Bombyx mori: one gene and its partners. The protein of the gene in region 1 binds, or shares a complex with, the protein of each later gene. Links are inferred from orthologs where the notes say so. Each region holds a gene or a part of one and is shown in the gene's direction. Other genes may lie near its edges. The genes, in order: eIF4AIII, protein CASC3, Y14 and pre-mRNA-splicing factor CWC22 homolog.

What was found.
Region 2: the proteins of eIF4AIII (region 1) and protein CASC3 are in contact, whole or in part, in a crystal structure (PDB 2J0U), measured with the Homo sapiens proteins. The link is inferred for Bombyx mori from reciprocal best matches to the Homo sapiens genes EIF4A3 and CASC3. Residues at the interface, in NP_055555.1 of Homo sapiens: Thr178, Arg179, Lys198, Ile201, Tyr202, Tyr205, Arg206, Tyr207, Leu208, Pro209, Pro210, Thr212, Lys231, Phe232; in NP_031385.2 of Homo sapiens: Arg217, Trp218, Glu219, His220, Asp221, Lys222, Phe223, Glu225.
Region 3: eIF4AIII (region 1) and Y14 share a complex: the UniProt entries of both Homo sapiens proteins name them as parts of the ALYREF/THOC4-EJC-RNA complex. The link is inferred for Bombyx mori from reciprocal best matches to the Homo sapiens genes EIF4A3 and RBM8A.
Region 4: the proteins of eIF4AIII (region 1) and pre-mRNA-splicing factor CWC22 homolog are in contact, whole or in part, in a crystal structure (PDB 4C9B), measured with the Homo sapiens proteins. The link is inferred for Bombyx mori from reciprocal best matches to the Homo sapiens genes EIF4A3 and CWC22. Residues at the interface, in NP_055555.1 of Homo sapiens: Met43, Gly44, Ile72, Ile73, Lys74, Gly75, Gln98, Cys99, Met183, Gln213, Val256, Ala257, Glu259, Trp263, Asp266, Thr267, Asp270, Leu271, Tyr272, Asp273, Thr274, Leu275, Thr276, Ile277, Thr278, Gln279, Ala300, Asn301, Phe302, Thr303; in NP_001362958.1 of Homo sapiens: Thr129, Gly130, Gly131, Ala132, Tyr133, Pro135, Pro136, Ala137, Lys138, Arg140, Lys164, Asn167, Gly168, Ile170, Asn171, Lys172, Val173, Asn174, Ser176, Asn177, Ile180, Ile181, Glu184, Ala207, Ser208, Ile210, Phe211, Tyr215, Lys330, Arg331.

The regions. Positions count from the first base shown.
Region 1 is NC_085131.1:3,885,180-3,889,889, forward strand, and holds the start of eIF4AIII (eukaryotic initiation factor 4A-III), read left to right. Parts: upstream 1-1,604; 5' UTR 1,605-1,725; coding exon 1,726-1,876; intron 1,877-2,161; coding exon 2,162-2,497; intron 2,498-2,834; coding exon 2,835-3,057; intron 3,058-3,925; coding exon 3,926-4,180; intron 4,181-4,710. Other genes in the region: protein hairless, read right to left, coding at 1-31. UniProt on the Homo sapiens protein: ATP-dependent RNA helicase. Involved in pre-mRNA splicing as component of the spliceosome. Core component of the splicing-dependent multiprotein exon junction complex (EJC) deposited at splice junctions on mRNAs.
Region 2 is NC_085126.1:2,182,138-2,186,296, reverse strand, and holds part of protein CASC3, read left to right. Parts: intron 1-498; coding exon 499-732; intron 733-1,983; coding exon 1,984-2,077; intron 2,078-2,544; coding exon 2,545-2,641; intron 2,642-4,004; coding exon 4,005-4,159. UniProt on the Homo sapiens protein: Required for pre-mRNA splicing as component of the spliceosome. Core component of the splicing-dependent multiprotein exon junction complex (EJC) deposited at splice junctions on mRNAs.
Region 3 is NC_085108.1:4,111,604-4,116,226, reverse strand, and holds the start of Y14 (RNA binding motif protein Y14), read left to right. Parts: upstream 1-1,526; 5' UTR 1,527-1,664; coding exon 1,665-1,725; intron 1,726-2,405; coding exon 2,406-2,508; intron 2,509-2,660; coding exon 2,661-2,778; intron 2,779-3,811; coding exon 3,812-3,925; intron 3,926-4,623. Other genes in the region: uncharacterized protein LOC101745843, read right to left, coding at 1-236.
Region 4 is NC_085110.1:1,337,598-1,342,402, reverse strand, and holds the start of pre-mRNA-splicing factor CWC22 homolog, read left to right. Parts: upstream 1-1,628; 5' UTR 1,629-1,857; coding exon 1,858-2,905; intron 2,906-3,428; coding exon 3,429-4,086; intron 4,087-4,805. UniProt on the Homo sapiens protein: Required for pre-mRNA splicing as component of the spliceosome. As a component of the minor spliceosome, involved in the splicing of U12-type introns in pre-mRNAs. Promotes exon-junction complex (EJC) assembly.

The DNA.
Region 1 (4,710 bases):
GGGTTGTGTTGGTTCCTTCCTGTATATGCATTTCATTTCTGACCGCTCAAACAGCGCGTCGACACATTAGTCCGAATTTTTTCGCCATGACGTACACGAACATGGATAGACCGACACATCAAACACTCGCGAATTACGGTCGACATGAAACATTTCCTTGGAAATCCTCATCTTATGACCACCTGCGGGCTGTGGGCTCGCCCAGAATCCCGTAATAAAAACACATTACCGACACAGTGACTACTGATTTCAACAATAAGCAAAGTGACTGCAAAGGAAAGAAATCTGATTTGCTCACTGTTTAAAATTTTAAATTCATACCCCTACGTAGGAATTTTATCATCAATCGAACCCGCGACACAATTTATTGAAAAGCTGTTGGTTTCAGTATACAGTTCATTCACACCCAGCATCCATTTTGATTCGTTCAAAATCAAATACGGTCGTTCTTTTGGCCACAAATTAAAACGAAATTCCTTCGACCAGTTCGACCTCTGAACGAATGCGTTGTTAATTGCGTTTTGTTTCGACCCAGTCGAAAAAATGTTTAGATCTCAAATTAATCTTGTAAAGCACAGTTAACAATTTCAACAGTTAAATTATAGAATCATATAATACATGTATTTTTAAAATTTGTAGCCGCATTATATCTTTTGCTGGTTACGCTCTAAAACTTTCTTTTTTTAACGTTTCTTCTTTCGCGTTTTGTATCACGTTTTTTTTACTTTGTGTATAATCTATAGCCGTTTTATTTCTTTTCCATTTTAGATTGTTACCTGTGACTCTTGAAACCACAGACTATCTACAAATCAACATTATTAATTTATTTTAGTAAGGGGTTTCGTCAGTAGCTATGAGCCCCCGCGTCGTCGCCTTTCAGTACTATAAACAATCACATTATTTTCGGATGAGTTCTTACCATCACTCCGGTTATCGCGGCTTAAGAATACATGAATAAATAATAATTAAAAAAAACTAAAATACACGTTTTTATAGAAAATCGTGAGATGCGCGGCGTCAATAGTTTAAATATTTTATTGACAGAAATTGCTAGCTAAGTCTTATCATTTTGATAATCTCATAAAAAGCATCCCACGCTTTTTTTTAAATAAATTTATTGTGATGTGTGGGAAGTAACGTTGTTGCACACTACATTATTTTCCATTTTTTAGTTGGATTTTCTATAAAAACATGTATTTTAGTTTTTTTAAACTATTATGTATTTTTCATTTTTTAGTTTACTTATTATCTATCATAAATTATTCTTTAATGTGCATTCAGGCAAATAAAACAGTTTCCAAATTTTCTAAGTGAAGAAAAGAAGGCGCAAAAATTAATTTGTTGTTTTGACTGCCGAAATTAAATAACGAGTCTACTGTTTAAAATATTGAATTATCATCGGTCCTTAATACCTAAGTATGCCAAATTTCAAGTTAATCTGACATTTTGAAGGTGGTCAAAATCATATTCAAAGATTCCGTTACATACCTACATAGGTATGGAGCTAATAAAAGCGTAATAATCACTTAATAGTCTATGGATCTTATGTATGAAATGTATTATCTATCTTATGGAATTAAATTCATTATCTATGGTGTTATCTATGGTTATGGACACAGTTTCTTAAGTTTCCCTTTAGTAATTTAGAAATTCAGATTCTAAGAGATTTTCACCTATCGTATAACTTGTTATTTTAAAAACTTAGAAGCGAACTAGATTCGAAAAATGACATCGTCTGAAGTATCGTCCAATAGAAAAATATTGTCGGAAGATTTGTCGAATGTTGAGTTCGACACGAGTGAAGATGTCGAAGTTATTCCCACTTTTGACTCCATGGGACTTCGAGATGAGTTATTGCGAGGAATATACACATATGGTTAGTACAAATTGTGGTGTTATTTATAATTATTACAACTGCCTACATAAACGATCATGTGGGCATTATCTTACCAGCTTTAGACCGTATTATGGTCGTCCGTCTGTCAGACTGTCGTCCTGTTTTTTCGCAACAGTTCTGCGTTCCGGCTTCGAAGAGTGACATACTAATTTACAATACATTTAAAATCAATCGCACTGTTAAACCTTGGGGGCTGGTAGATTCCGTATTGTGGTGTATGTGGGGTCCGGTAACCACTTAGTAATAACTAACGTTAATTTACAGGTTTCGAAAAACCTTCAGCAATTCAGCAGAGAAGCATCTTGCCTATAGTCAAAGGCAGAGATGTAATAGCTCAAGCACAATCTGGTACAGGAAAGACTGCGACATTCTCAATTTCAATACTACAGACTTTAGACACGACTCTGCGTGAAACTCAAGTACTTATTCTTTCACCGACCCGTGAACTGGCTACTCAGATTCAGAAAGTGATATTAGCTCTTGGAGATTTCATGAACGTTCAATGTCATGCTTGTATTGGAGGTACCAATCTTGGAGAAGATATAAGGAAATTGGATTACGGACAGCATGTTGTGTCTGGCACACCTGGCAGAGTTTTTGGTAAATAAATGAAAATTGCTAATCCAAGTAAATAAGTACTAATTGTTTTAGTTTCCAAAACCAAAGATAAACCTTCTGTGATCTTTTTTGTTATCTGGCTGGTTCACCTTTTTTATTTCTTGAAAGTAGTAACTTAACTTCCACTTCTCAAATTCACCAACAGTACTACTCACTACAGTAGTCTCACCACAAACCCATGTGTATGGTTTCAGGCATCTCAGAACAGGGATGGTGTCTATAAATTGTCATCCTTGTGCAATAATTGAAAAAGTTAAATAATCTATCCACTGCAAGATGTAGGGTGCCCTAGATTATAAGAAAACAATCTTATTTTCAGATATGATCAGAAGGCGTGTGTTGAGAACCCGGTCAATAAAGATGCTGGTTCTTGATGAGGCTGATGAGATGTTGAACAAAGGTTTCAAAGAGCAAATTTATGATGTATACCGCTATCTGCCTCCTGCAACTCAGGTTGTGCTAATATCAGCAACACTACCCCATGAGATATTGGAAATGACATCAAAGTTTATGACTGATCCAATAAGGATATTAGTAAAACGGTTTGTATGATTATTTCAAAAATACACATTAAAGTTCGAATTCTGCAGGCAAGTACTAATTTTTCTAATGAAATACGTACTTCACAATTGTTCACGATTAACTTCCATAGTGAAGGAATAACATCTTATAATAAAAATCAAACATGTAAAATTATAATTTGCGTAATTACTGGTGGTAGGTGGTAGGAATGTCTTGTAAGTCCGCACGGGTAGGTACCACGATCCTGTCTATTTTTGCTGGGACGCAGTAATGTGTTTTGGTTTGAACGGTGGGTCAGCTGTTGTACTGTAAAATGCGAGACACTAGAACTCATGTCATTTTATTTTTTTAGTGTCCTTGTAGGCAGACTAGCATACCACCCACCTGATGGTGAGTGGTGACAATCGCCCATGGAATTCAGTACAGCAAAGCTGTTCTAGGTGTCTATGGACTCTGGTAACCACTTAACACCATTAACACCGTGGGCCTTGAACTCATCCACCCACTAAGTTAAATGAAATATTTGTTTTATATTGCCCTTGAAGGAATTTGTCCACCTGATAGTGAGTGATTACTGCCGCCTATGGACACTAGTGACGCTAAGGGTTATTTGCCTGATATCTCATTTGAATAAAATTATGTCACAGTACTCAGGAAACACTAGAGGAGATTTAGATTAAGAAAAGAAGTTACATTAAGTGTAGAAAACTATCTGTTTTATTTTAGCATTATCAACTATACTATTTCTAGGATGAAGCTTATTTCTGTATGGACTATCATTTTGTTAATTGCTCAACACATAAACCTATGCAAGCTAAATAGTAATTAAGTAAACAAATTTTCTATCATGGTAAATGTATTTGAAATTAAGAATCATTTTTTCTACAGTGATGAGTTGACACTGGAGGGTATCAAACAGTTCTTCGTGGCAGTTGAACGAGAAGAATGGAAGTTTGACACACTTTGTGACCTCTATGATACACTGACAATTACCCAAGCAGTAATATTTTGTAATACAAAGAGGAAGGTTGACTGGCTCACACAGAAGATGCAAGAGGCAAACTTCACTGTCAGTTCAATGCATGGTGACATGCCACAGAAAGAGAGAGACAACATTATGAAGGAATTTCGTTCTGGTCAAAGGTAATGGAAATTCTATTAAAATAAAAACAATACGATCTTGAAGACTTTTAGTTTTCAAGATCTAAATGTGAATGGTTTCGAATTTCGTGAACTAATATCACTAGTGATTTAATATGAAAAATACAATTGCTCTTTTTTTTTTAATGTAAACGAGATATGGATCACCTTTACAGACAGCATTTATGTAATAATGCCTCTGGGCTTTTGTTGAGTGTTGGATGGGCTAGTGCTTAATGTCTAATATCTAATTTATAGTGTTATATAGTATGTAATAGATGACTATGTCTAGAAGTTATAGCAACTACAACCTCAATTCAGTTTTGAATAGTTATTGGTTTAGGTTATCACTCAATATATTGGTCAGTTTTTTAGAGGAACCATATTTTTCATGGTTCCATTATTATTCATTTGTTTCTATACTAAGCTTAAGGCCAACACTGGACAGGCATTATTCTTAAATCTCAATTATAGTTCTCTTTATGACAATAATCGAAATAAATACTGCAATGTGGCTTACCACTAATTTCTGG
Region 2 (4,159 bases), on another chromosome or scaffold:
CGTTGTGTGATTTGTTTTATTTTGTCTATTTGGTGTTTCTTCAGGTTTTAATGTGTAATAACGGTGGTTTATTAGCTGCTTAGTATCTGTGAAAGTGCACAAATGTGGGAAAATAAAACAAAGCCGCTGGACGTAAATTCTCGACATCCTCCCGATCCATTAACGGTGCTTTTAGGCACCACAAGCACCGGTCACCGTCCTCTTCCAACCTGTCGCTTGCGACGAAGGGCTCGACGAGCGAATTAACCCACAGACACAGCTCACTGAGTTTCCGATCCGGTGGTGGACTCTGCGAAGCACTGCTCTTGCTAGGGCCAGTGTTCGCAACACTCCGGTTTGAGCCCTGTGAGCTCACCTACACACGTTAGGGCGAAGCTGACATAGCCTCTCAAGGCTATCAGGTAGGAAAAAAAAATGCAAACTAGCGCTATCCTCGTAGTGCTACTAGCCGCATAATGCGTCGGTACCCTAATGGTTGTGCATTGGTCCGTGTAACAGGAGGAAGGTTCGCGCCCCCCGGCCTCGGTCCAAGTCGCAGCCGGCGGCGGGCGAGTCCCCGGAGCGCGCCGCCCAGCTCCGCCGGAACGCCTCCATCAAAACCGCGAAGCCCAAGCCGCCGTTCACAAAGACGACGCCCCCGAAGAACCTGAAGCCGCAGGACAAGAAATTACCGGCGCTCGAAACTTTGACAATCACCGCTCCGGCGAATAATAACAATAACAACAATAACAGGTGAGGATTCGTTTTGTATTGGGTGCGTTGGATTCGAGCATTATTAGTACTGTTGCCACGGTAATCACTAATCATTTTAAAATTTTGAGATTCTCAGATATTGTCGTAAATATAAGAATATAATACTTGGTGGCAAACACGCGAGATGAGATGTCCTACGTTTTTCTCGCGGTGCACATACTCATAAAAAAAACAATTTAACTGTTTTTTAATTTTAACTAAAATACTACTAATTAAATAAGAACTGTCTGATGAACTCATCTTTGTTTAATACTTCACTATTAAATTTTATTGCCTTTTGTATATTTCACTTTTACACTAAACACAATATTGCAAATTACCTGAGCACAACAATGGCGGAGAATTTTTGGTGTGTGAGAGCAGACGTAGACACTAACGCGCTTGCGCACTTGTCAGTACCCAGGGAGAAAAAGTTAAACTTTCTTCCCTGTACAGAGGGACGACAAGTTACACTTTCTTCTCTGTACAGAGGGACGAAAAGTTACACTTTCTTCCCTGTACAGAGGGATGAAAAGTTACGCTTTCTTCCCTGTACAGAGGGATGAAAAGTTACACTTTCTTCCCTGTACAGAGGGACGAAAAGTTACACTTTCTTCCCTGTACAGAGGGACGAAAAGTTACACTTTCTTCCCTGTACAGAGGGACGAAAAGTTACACTTTCTTCCCTGTACAGAGGGACGAAAAGTTACACTTTCTTCCCTGTACAGCGGGACGAAAAATTACACTTTCTTCCCTGTACAGAGGGACGAAAAGTTACACTTTCTTCCCTGTACAGCGGGACGAAAAGTTACACTTTCTTCCCTGTACAGAGGGACAAAAGTTACACTTTCTTCCCTGTACAGAGGGACGAAAAGTTACACTTTCTTCCCTGTACAGAGGGACGAAAAGTTACACTTTCTTCCCTGTACAGCGGGACGAAAAATTACACTTTCTTCCCTGTACAGAGGGACGAAAAGTTACACTTTCTTCCCTGTACAGCGGGACGAAAAGTTACACTTTCTTCCCTGTACAGAGGGACGAAAAGTTACACTTTCTTCCCTGTACAGCGGGTGGAAAACCGAACTTTCGGTGTCGGTAGGAGAAAAAAACTGTTTGAAGAAAGTGTAACAATTACAACAGTAGAATTTTTTTCTTCTAAGTGCCTGCTGCAAAGGCTATTATTAATCAGTAGTCCCTCGATCTTGCTTGATAAAGCATGATATATTCAGTTGCTTGATTTACAATTTTCAGCCAAGGTCAGTCGCAGCGGAAGGTGAGCGCTATGGTGGCGCAGCAGCGGCCAGTGCCCACGGACATCAACAAGAAGAAGCCGCTTCCCGGCCAGGTATATCGTACAATAATTGTCATCTTTGTCATAAGCATCGCTTCGTTTGCGCTAGGGGCGCTGTTCGAATTAGATACAGATTTGAGTTCGATAGATCGATTTAATCTTATCTTATCTTATCTTATCTTATCTTATCTTATCTTATATATCTATATATATATATAAATGAATTGCAGTTCGTTAGTCTCGCTAAAACTCGAATACGGCTGGACCAATTTGCCTAATTTTGGTCTTAAATTATTTGTGGAAGTCCAAGGAAGGTTTAAAAGGTAGATAAATATGAAAACACTCGGAATTAAATAAAAATAACAATTTTGTTTTTCCTTTGGTGTGTCCCCCGTCGAACGGATTCCTTTTGTTTGTTTTAAGTTTATTTTATACAAAAGTTTAGGTCTTTTATTTCTCGATTGATGCACTACGAAGTCTGCCGGATCAGCTAGTTATCGATAAAAAATGCTTCTCCCCAGAACCAGCAGCCCTCGAGTCCAGCCCCCAACAAGTCGCCGCCCCTGCAAACGAAACCACAGAACCAGACCTCTCACCCTCACCCGCAACAGACCACTGGTAACTATGAAACAAAACGTATAGCTTTCAAATGCCTAACAATTTTCCACAATACATCAATTATGAAAACTAAACATTTAAAATTATTATTAAAAAAAAGAACATAATATTTCTAACCTAAAAGTACATGTTATTATCCGCAACACGCTTCGTCAGATTACAGAAATAGAGTTATCAGCAACATGCTTCGTCAAAAAGTACAATACTTACTTTCAGCTGCAAGCGTCGTCATAAGTAACATATAACATTTAAATATTGAAGACAAGAGTGGATGAAGAGATCAAGTATCATTTTTAAGATTTTTGAGTTTCTAAATTGAATAAAGGTGTTATGTGCATATATTAGACCATATTAGACCTTAAAACTTCAGGCATAAAAGTTTTAGAAATTGCAAGTGACGAAGGAGTTATGTGCGAAGAAAAGTGCAAGCAACAAAAGTTTGTTGCCCGCTTTCTCAAAATTAACAAATTGTATCATATCCCCTTCATCCACTCATGTCTTCAATTATTTTTGATTATTGCTATTTTTTTCGCGGAATAAAATATTTTTAATTTTTTCTGTTTATCTCTAAGCTTGGCAGGAATTGTATGCTTGTGAGCGAGTATTTCAATTGATTAATACGTGAAGCAAAAACTTTGTATCCCTTTTTACGAAAATTGCGCGGACGAAGGAGTATGAAATTTCCCACACTTATAGAGAATATAGAGGAGTGCAGAATGCTGATATTTTTAAAAAAATATGCATTTATAATACATTAAATCAATAAAAAAACATTACACACACTACCATGTATTTAACATACACGCATAATATATAAACGCTTTGTTTATTGTTTATAGTGTAGTTTTGGCGAAACCTGTAATTATAGAAGTATAATAAAATATAGTCTTTGATAATGGAACCATAATAATGTTCAAACTTACTGGTGGTAGGACCTCTTGTGGGTCCGCGCGGGTGGGTACCACCGCCCGGCCCATTTTTGCCGTGAAGCAGTAATGCGTTTCGGTTTGAAGGGTGGAGCAGCCGTTGTAGCTATACTTGAGACCTTAGAACTTATATCTCAAGATCGGTGACGCATTTACGTCATAGTTGTCTATGGGCTCCAGTAACCACTTAATACCAGGTGGGCTGTGAGCTCTTCCACCCATCTAAGCAAAAAAAAAATATCTTCAATTATTTTTCATTTTTGCTATTTTTTTGCGGAATAAAAATAATTTTTTTTGTCTGTTTATCTCTTTAAGTTCGGCCAGAGTTGTATGCTTGTCAGCGAGTATTTTAATTGATAGTACAGCTTCATTAATACTGCCTAGAATGAGCAGAAGACTAGAGAAAGTGTCATTATATTTCTGAACTGTTGGAACAGGCGCCGAGCCCCGCGGCGGCAGCAAGCGCTACAGCAGCCTGCGGCAGCGCCCCCTCGCTGAGCCCTACACGCCCCAACCGCAGCCGCAGACGCAGACCCAGACCCCTGTCCAGACCTCTAGTCCGGGGGCAGCGCAGACCCAGCAACCGCACAGA
Region 3 (4,623 bases), on another chromosome or scaffold:
AAAGGTTTCTCAATTTGTTCTGTTTGCTTAGTATGGTTGACAATATTAATTTTTGAGTCAATTAGATCATTATAATTATTAAATATAGTTTCACCAACTCTGCTGGGTGGAGGCGAAGAACGCGGGGTCGGAATGGATGATTTGAATTTCCATTCTGAGAAAAGAGAACTTTTAGTTTTTTTCGTTATTATCAATTTTTCATCCACATCGTTTTCTAATAAATTACAGTCACTCATGATTTTACTACTAATTTCATTTCAATGTATGCTAATAGACTGAAACTCTGAAAGTTAGTTTGACATTGATTATTATTTATTTGATTACTCTATTCTTTTTTATTTTCAGATGATAAAAAATTCACAAGCTTAAAGAGTATATTAAAATTTTAAAAATCGCATTTATTTCAACTAAAGAATTAAAAAGAAAGATCAAAAGTTAGAAGTTCTTTTCATATTTGAAATAATTTAATCATATTTTATGATTTTCGAATATCATTGAAAATTGCATTGTACTTAAAAGAAGTGAAAGTGATAAATATATATAATAATTAAGTAACAAATAGCGGAGGAACTGGGGATACCTATCAGCGACGCACTCCACCGGGCTGCAGGGCGGGATCGATGGAGACAGTTGGTTGACGAAATCGGACGGAGTCACGATCCTCAGCAGTGAGGAACCGATCGAAGAGAGAGAGAGAGAGAACAGTTTCATATTATTCGAGGAAATTTGTATGATGATTAATAAATGTATACATATAACATAATTTTTTTGGCAATCCTTCCCTTTTTTTGGTGGTTTTTTAATCATATTTATGAAAAAAAAAATTGACATTTTTTTTGAAGTAGATATCTATTTGTGCTATTTTTTTATTTTTTCCTACTTATTCTGATAGCCTTGAGAGGCTATTAAATTTCAGCTTCGCCATAACTTTATAAACTTGACAGTATAAAGGCGGACTTAATGCCATTTAAAATACAGTTCTATACAATACACTTCTATTATGTATATTATCTATTTTTGACGTTGATGTACGATTGTTGTGGGACTTTTTGACGGGAACGCGAGGAATGAAGTTTTGTGATCTGTTTTGTTTTGTCTATTTAGTGCTTCTTCGAGTTTAAAGGCGTAATAACGGTGGTTTATTATCTGTTTAGTAACTGTGTAAGTGCACAAATGTGTGAAAATGAAACAAAGCCGCCGAACGTAATTTCTCGGGATCTTCCAAAAAGTGCACTGAAAAAGTCTCACTAAATGTCCACCATTTTCCTGAGATTATATTTCATCCCATATCATCTCATCTCCTTTCATTTCATTTCGTTTTAATTTCCATTCAATTTAATTTCCTGCCATATTTCATATAAAAAAAGTTTTCATTAAAATTAAAATAAGTCTTGACCTAAAAGTCTTAGTTACCAGGTCATAAAGTCCTTTAAAAATGTGATTGTCGTATACATGTCTTATCTATGAATAATCTCTCAAATATAATAAGTGTATAATCTATGGAATAATCTATGGTGGTCGTGTTTGATGCGGAGTTTTCAAGATTAATTTGTGTAACTTTTTGATTTTTTAAACTCATATGGTCTCTAGATAAATACATCTTTATTAATTACATTTTATTTAAATTATTTACTACTTCTCATAACGTAAATCTACTATAAAACATGGCTGACGTGCTAGATATCGAAAATTCAGAAGAATTTGAAGTCGACGAAGATGGTGAACGTAAGTGGAACAATTGATATTATTAAAAATATTTTAATCAAATTTTGTTTCCTATTCATTATCTGTAAAGTCTGCTCGTAGCTTAAACAAGCAATTATGTGTGGACATAAAACGGGAAATGTTGTCTCAATTAAGGTTATAATTTCCGACTGAATTTTTTTTACATTTGTAATGTTATTATCGCCGGTCGACGTTAAACTTTCACCACTGGGTTTAATTTAAATGCACACATACAAAATGATGCACACCAGACTTGTTAAGACATATAAATCTAACATATAGATTGCTTGTTCCCCATTTTTTCATATTTCGTGCTTTAGGACATTACATTGGTGATTCTTACGTGTTTTATAATTATTCTTGCACTAAATTAAGCTTAAAGTAAACTAAAAATTGTAATGTTGTTGATTTCCAAAAATAACACATAATATACTGGTGGTAGGAGCTCTTGTGAGTCCGCGCGGGTGGGTACCACCACCCTGCCTATTTCTGCCGTAGCAGCCGGGCAGCCGTTGTATACTTGAGACCTTAGAACTTATATCTCAAGGTGGATGGCGCATTTACATTGTGGATGTCTATGGGCTCCAGTAACCACTAAACAACAGGTGGGCTGTGAGATCATGCACCCAACAATAAAAAAAAAATTTAGTGTAAAATTACAGTATTTAAAAATGTTACAGAGGGAATCGCTAGACTTAAGGAGAAGGCACGTAAGCGAAAAGGTCGTGGTTTTGGCAACGAAGCCGGTGGAGGCAGTGCTGCAGAACGGGGTAACCGCGGAAGGTAATACACAGATTTTGTCATTTTCCATTGTACTGAATAATAATATTTCTTGCTAATCAACAGAAGCTCTGTTTCCACTCTGGAAAAACCCACAACCGAACCAGGCTTAACATGTCCAACAGTGGCCAAAACTTTGTATTGTTTTGTTGCAGATACGACAGTTTAGCTCCGGAAGGCGATAGCGGTACACCAGGACCTCAGAGATCAGTTGAAGGCTGGATCCTGTTTGTCAGTAATGTACATGAAGAAGCACAAGAAGAAGATATACAGGCAATTAAAACTTCTTTTATTTATATTTAGAAGATAAAATTTCCACTTTGTATCTACTTGTAGCTACTGTTTGAGACACACCTTAATTTGAAATGGTTATAATTACAAAAAAACAATGTGAAAGATTAAAAGGTATATTCCTATTTAATTAATGTGAAATGTGAAATAGGTTAAGTCAAAGAAAAGATATTTTGTCATGTCAATGTATTTGTTGGTAAATAGACACGCATCAATAGGGACATTGACATATTCATAAAAATGTGAATGTAGCCACTTTGAAACATTAGTGTAAATCTGTGGAATAGTATTGATCAATAATAATATAATAATTTAATAGGACTATAGGTTTTTTTTATTGCCTTTCTAGGCAACATGCGAGCAGTAGACGAGCATATGGCCCACCTGATGGTAAGTGGTCAGCGTCGCTTATCGACGTCAGCAATGCGCCAGGGACAGAGCCAAGCCGCTGCCTACATTACTACATTGCCAATAAGATTAAATTATTATATGACCAATAGAATAAGTATGTAATACAAATCCTTTTTTTTTAATAAAAATATGTCAAGTTTTTCATAGAATATATGCAGACCACTATTACAAATTTTATTGAAGTTCTTTAGGCGCGTTGTGAAAAATTGATGAGAGTGAAATTTTACGATGCACGCGCACCGTGACACAAATTTAACAGAAATGAAGTTGCCCACTAAATCGCTCATTAAAATACGACCGCCGTAACTTGGAGAGTCTGAATATAGCCGCAGGTGAACTTTCGCGCATGTTCACTCGTAAAAAAAAGTGTGATTAGCATTTATTTTTTACTAATATAAATGACAAAATTATTTTTTAATATAATTCATACTAAATATTATTAAATTATTAACATTAAATATATTTATTTAACATCTAAAAAAAAATAAAAATTAATAAAAATAAAGTATAACTTCTTACGCGCGTACATAAGTACACGCACCCTTTTTTTATAAGGATCGGTGATTCGATCAGTGGAAACAATATTAGTTTGTTTTGTTGACAGAATCAATTTTCCGAGTTTGGTGAGATAAAGAATATTCATCTGAATCTGGACCGACGCACAGGCTTCCTCAAAGGCTACGCTCTAGTTGAGTACGAGACTTATAAACAAGCCGCTGTAAGTACTTAGTGCTACTGATTAATATAAGACTTACTGTGCTTTGGTATCCACTTTATACATACTGAATGATGACCGGTTTTTTTTGATAACGCCATCTTGTTGTGTCTTTAAAGCGGTTAGTTGCCCTCAATTAAGAAAAATAGTATTATTATTCGCCAATAGATGTCAGGAAGAGTTAATTTTTGAAAACACGAATAAAACAACATTTTCTCAAAATAAATCGTAGCTAGATCGATTTATCGTCCCCGAAATCCCCTGTATACTAAGTTATATGAAAATCGTTGGAGCCGTTTCCGAGATTCAAATTATATACATATATATTAATATACAAGAATTGCTCGTTTAAAGATATCCACTGTATACATCTTAAACTTCGTATGTATCTTTTTTAATTGCTTTGTTTGGATGAAAGAATTCACGGCCCGCTTGATTATAATGGTTACTGTAGTCCATAGACACCAACAATGAAAATACGCCATCTAACAGGTAACATGAGTTGAAACATGACTTCAAGTCGAACCATATTACTGCTTCACAGCAGACCTAGACGGGGCGATAGTACCTACCCATGCGAACTCACAACAAGCCCTATTACTAGTATTTATCCATATTATGATATTTTCAGATATGATTTTATTACACAATGTTATTCATTCGTCCTGGATTACATAAGTTGCAAAGCAATTAATATGAAA
Region 4 (4,805 bases), on another chromosome or scaffold:
GCTAGGGGTCTTGGGCATGGGAGGAGCTAGAACAGACTGCCCAAGACCGATGTAAATGGAAAAATTTGATTCAAGCCCTACACCCCAGCAGAGGGTAGTAGGAAGGAATGATGATGATGATGAAAAAGTATACTGAGTCTTATTAAGCGATTAATTTAAGCGACAATAATTTGAATGTTCTCTTTTCAAATATAAATAAATTTAAACAATAATTTTTTGTTAGAGTGAAAACACCGACAGAAATCTTCGATAACAATAAACTGTATTACGTTCCGTTTTAAACAGTGACCAGTATAGCTAACTATAAAAGAACAGTTTCGCAGTATATTAAATTGACGTCACATCTTACAATGCTGGCAGTGCTTATCGGAGCATAGCTGTAGTGTGGCTGCTTATGGCGTTGTTCTTGAAATCTTTCCGCTTTTCTTTGTGGGTGACGCATTTACGTTGTAAATGTTTTTTTTTTATGATTGAAAGATTACTGGTGGCCCGGAGGCCTTTCCAGCTTCACCAGGACAGGTGGGCGAGCAAAGGCTCAGCCAGGAGGGGTGGGATTTGCTAACAGCTACCCGAGCGCCTCCGAAGGAGACCTAACAACTCGAGAGCAATTGCTTCGCGAATGAATCTACTACCGGATCGGAATCGCGACCCACTGAGAAGATCCGGTGAGAAACTCAGCGAGCTGATGCATGGGTTAGGTTGCACGTCGACCTCTTTGTCGAGTTCGACGAGTACGGTTACCGGGGTTCCTCAGCCTGCTCCTAGTGTTAGAGCTGAAGGTATCTAATGTAAGAGTTATTGGATCTGATGGATCCGTAAGGACATGTCTAGGGCGACGACGGTGACTTGCTCCTGCGTGATCAGGATTCGGGGAGTAATCAGCGGCGGCAACGATAAGGCGATTATCATGACGTGTCTATGGGCTCCGACGACACGAGAACCCTCTCAACGTGGCCGCCGATAACTACATTGCCGATCTTGCGGACCAAATGGTAAACATTCGACGTCACCCAAAATACGTCATCTCGGATCCTCCTGATCCACTAACGGTGCTTTTAGGTACCCCAAGCACCGGTCATCGTTCTCGTCAAGCCCCTCGCTTGCGACGAAGGACTGGGTGAATAAATTAACCCACAGACACAGCCCACTGAGTTTGTCGCCAGATCTTTTCGGTGGGTCGTGTTTCCGATCCGGTGGTAGATTCTGCGCAGCACTGCTCTTGCTAGGGTTCGTGTTAGCAACATCGTCAGGTTTGAGCAACGTGAGCTCACCTACTAGCCTGGTGACGCTGATATGATCTCTCTAGAACATCAGCTTAGGTAGGAAAAAAAAATCTTTGCTGCAAACATTAGGATTATCCATTAAATTAGCACCTAACAGCGCCGAGAGTGGATAATCTAAAAAAGTTAACTGAATTTGTCCAAATACATAAACACCATTTTACTGATATTATATTTCATCTCATATCATTTCGTTTCATTTAATGTCATCTCAAATCTCAATTGATTAATGTCGCAAAAACAACTTCATTTAAATTTTTTTAAACAATACTTTACTTTATTAGGCCGTATAGTATGATACCTTCACCTTTTCAGTTGGAAAACGGAGTTACTACTACTCTACTACTACTGACATGACAGTAAAATAAAAATGTCAAAACAAAATGGCTGTTTTATTAAGGTCAAGCTGGATTTTACTTAGTGCACGTTCTACTTTTTCATCGAAATAAATTTCATGATTTTACACATAATATTGAAAATGAATAGTTTTAATAATATTGAGTTCTAGATACAGTATTAAATTCTTTTATAAAAAGTTCAATTGTAGTCTAGTAGTGTCAAAACAAAAATCATAAGAATGGAGAAGACTAACACCAAGCAGAAGAAAGATAAATACGAGGAAGATGATGAAAGGCGTAGGTCGAAAAGGTCGAGACGGGCTAGATCTAGATCTAAGTCACTTGAGGAACAGCAGAATAGGGAGTATAGAAGTAAACGCCGGCGTTCCAAATCACGCTCACCTCATTACAAGGCTAGGGAAGATAAACGAGTTAAAGACACACAAAAAGAGCCAGAAACAAAAAAAGATGCCTCTACAAAGCCAGAAAGACGCGCAAAAGATACTGATATGTTGAATACTAGAACAGGAGGTGCATACATTCCACCAGCAAGACTGAGGATGATGCAAGCGCAGATCACGGATAAGTCCTCGATAGCTTACCAAAGACTTGCCTGGGAAGCTCTCAAAAAGTCAATTCACGGTCACATCAACAAAATTAATGTCGGTAACATAGGTATCATTATAAAGGAATTATTGAAAGAAAACATTGTCAGAGGTCGAGGTTTGTTATGCCGTTCTGTTATTCAAGCCCAGGCAGCCTCGCCAACATTCACTAATGTATACGCGGCTCTAGTATCAGCAGTCAATTCACGTTTTCCTAATATCGGGGAGTTGTTACTGAAAAGATTAGTGATTCAATTCAAAAGAGGTTTTAAACGCAATGATAAGTCAATTTGCATTTCCTCTGCATCTTTCATTGCACATTTAGTGAATCAGAGAGTGGCACATGAAATTCTGGCTTTAGAACTTCTCACTTTACTAGTTGAATCACCAACAGATGATTCAGTTGAAGTTGCCATAGCATTCTTAAAGGAATGTGGCCAAAAATTGACTGAAGTATCATCTAAAGGTGTAAATGCAATTTTCGAGATGCTAAGGAACATTTTGCACGAAGGTCAGTTAGACAAAAGAGTTCAGTACATGATAGAAGTAATGTTCCAAGTTTGGAAGGATGGGTTCAAAGACCACCCGGCACTGATTGAAGAGTTGGAGCTCGTGCCTGAAGAAGAACAGTTCACACATCTATTGATGCTGGATGACGCTACAGATCCTCAAGATATCCTGAGTATGTTATATTCTATTAAACTATCCATAAAAAAATAAGCCATAAAACACTTAAGTAGATTATCTGTACAGTCTGTCAATTGAATTATTTGTTCCCCTAAGTTATTTAATAGCTATTGAGGGTATGCACAAGAGTTATTGTAACACTTAAAATGCTAAAAGTTTTGAGTGTATATAACACTCTAAACGAGTAAAGTTTTAATTTTTAATAGGATTAATCAAAAATTTTTATATATAGTTTACATAAAAATGCTTTTAGCTTATTTAAAAATGTAACTTAAACAATCTCAATTTTTTTTCATATACTTTTTGCTTTAAGTTTTAAGATAGTAGTACTCTGTGTTAGTGAATTCAATATCCATTATTTTAGCCTATTTTTATTTTCCATCGTATGTATTAACTCATTTATGCCCAACATTATTGAATGTTATAAACAATTTATCTTAATGCTCCATTTAAAACAAATGTAAAATAAGCAAATTAGTATAAAAGAATAAAAATAACAATTTTCCCAAATGCTTCAGATGTTTTCAAATTTGATGAAAAGTATGAAGAGAATGAACAGAAGTACAAGAATCTTTGCAAGGAAATACTTGGTTCTGATGCTGAGTCCGGTGATGAAGATGGTTCAGGAGAAAGCGGTAGTGAGGAATCTGATGAAGAAGATGAAGAACAACCAAAAAAAGAAATGACTATTATTGATAACACAGAAACAAACTTAGTGGCTCTGAGACGCACTATATACCTGACAATCAACTCCAGTTTAGATTTCGAAGAATGTGCTCATAAACTAATGAAGATGCAACTGAAACCAGGACAAGAAGTGGAACTATGCCACATGTTCTTAGACTGCTGTGCTGAGCAGAGAACATATGAGAAATTCTATGGCTTATTGGCCCAAAGGTTTTGCAACATCAACAGAATATACATCGGACCTTTCGAGGAAATTTTCAAAGATTCATATTCAACAGCACACAGGTTGGACACGAATAGACTCAGAAATGTCAGCAAGTTTTTCGCCCATCTGCTGTTTACAGATTCCATTAGTTGGGAATCTTTGGAATGTGTTAAATTGAACGAAGAAGACACAACTAGTTCTAGTCGGATATACATAAAGATTCTGTTTCAAGAACTGGCTGAATACATGGGACTAAAGAAACTGAATGACCGTCTACAAGATCCGTTCGTATTACTTTGTTTTGATGTTTTTTTAGTTTTATAATAATAAATAAACCCTCAATTTCAAATGGAAATATGACAAATGACAGTGGAAACTCTTTGAAAGGATAGCTCAGGGCACAGACAAGCGATTATATATTGCTGAGAGCAATGACAGTTGTTATGAGAGGTTCACAATAATGAATGTTGATTTTAACTACAATTGCTACATTGCTATGCTCATGGGTGTGATTTAATACTAGCTTTACCCTTTCTTTTGAGTTAGGAGATGGTTTCGGAACCAGTGAACAAAGTTTACGGCTTACCAAAAACTATCTTTATGGTTTAATCTTGCGAACTTTATTACTAGCGAACTGCCCTCGCTTTGCTTCGGAAACATTAAATTTTATTATTGATAGCTGAGCCCCGCGATGTTAACCGCGGTTATTGTCGTACCGCGGATGAAGCCGCGAGGCGAAGCTAGTCTAAAAAAAGTAACATAAGTTACTCCTTATATCATCAGCTACCTATCAGTAAAAGTCCCTGCAAAATCGGTCCAACCGTCCCAGAGATAAGCTGGAACAAACATACAGACAAAAATTGTAAAAAATGTTATTTTTACCGTATATATTCATATGAATGTAGTAAAAAGAGGCTATTTCAATATTACAAACAGACACTCCAATTTTATTTACATGTATAGATTATTTTCGAATACTAACAGTTTTCGTGGTTACGGACGA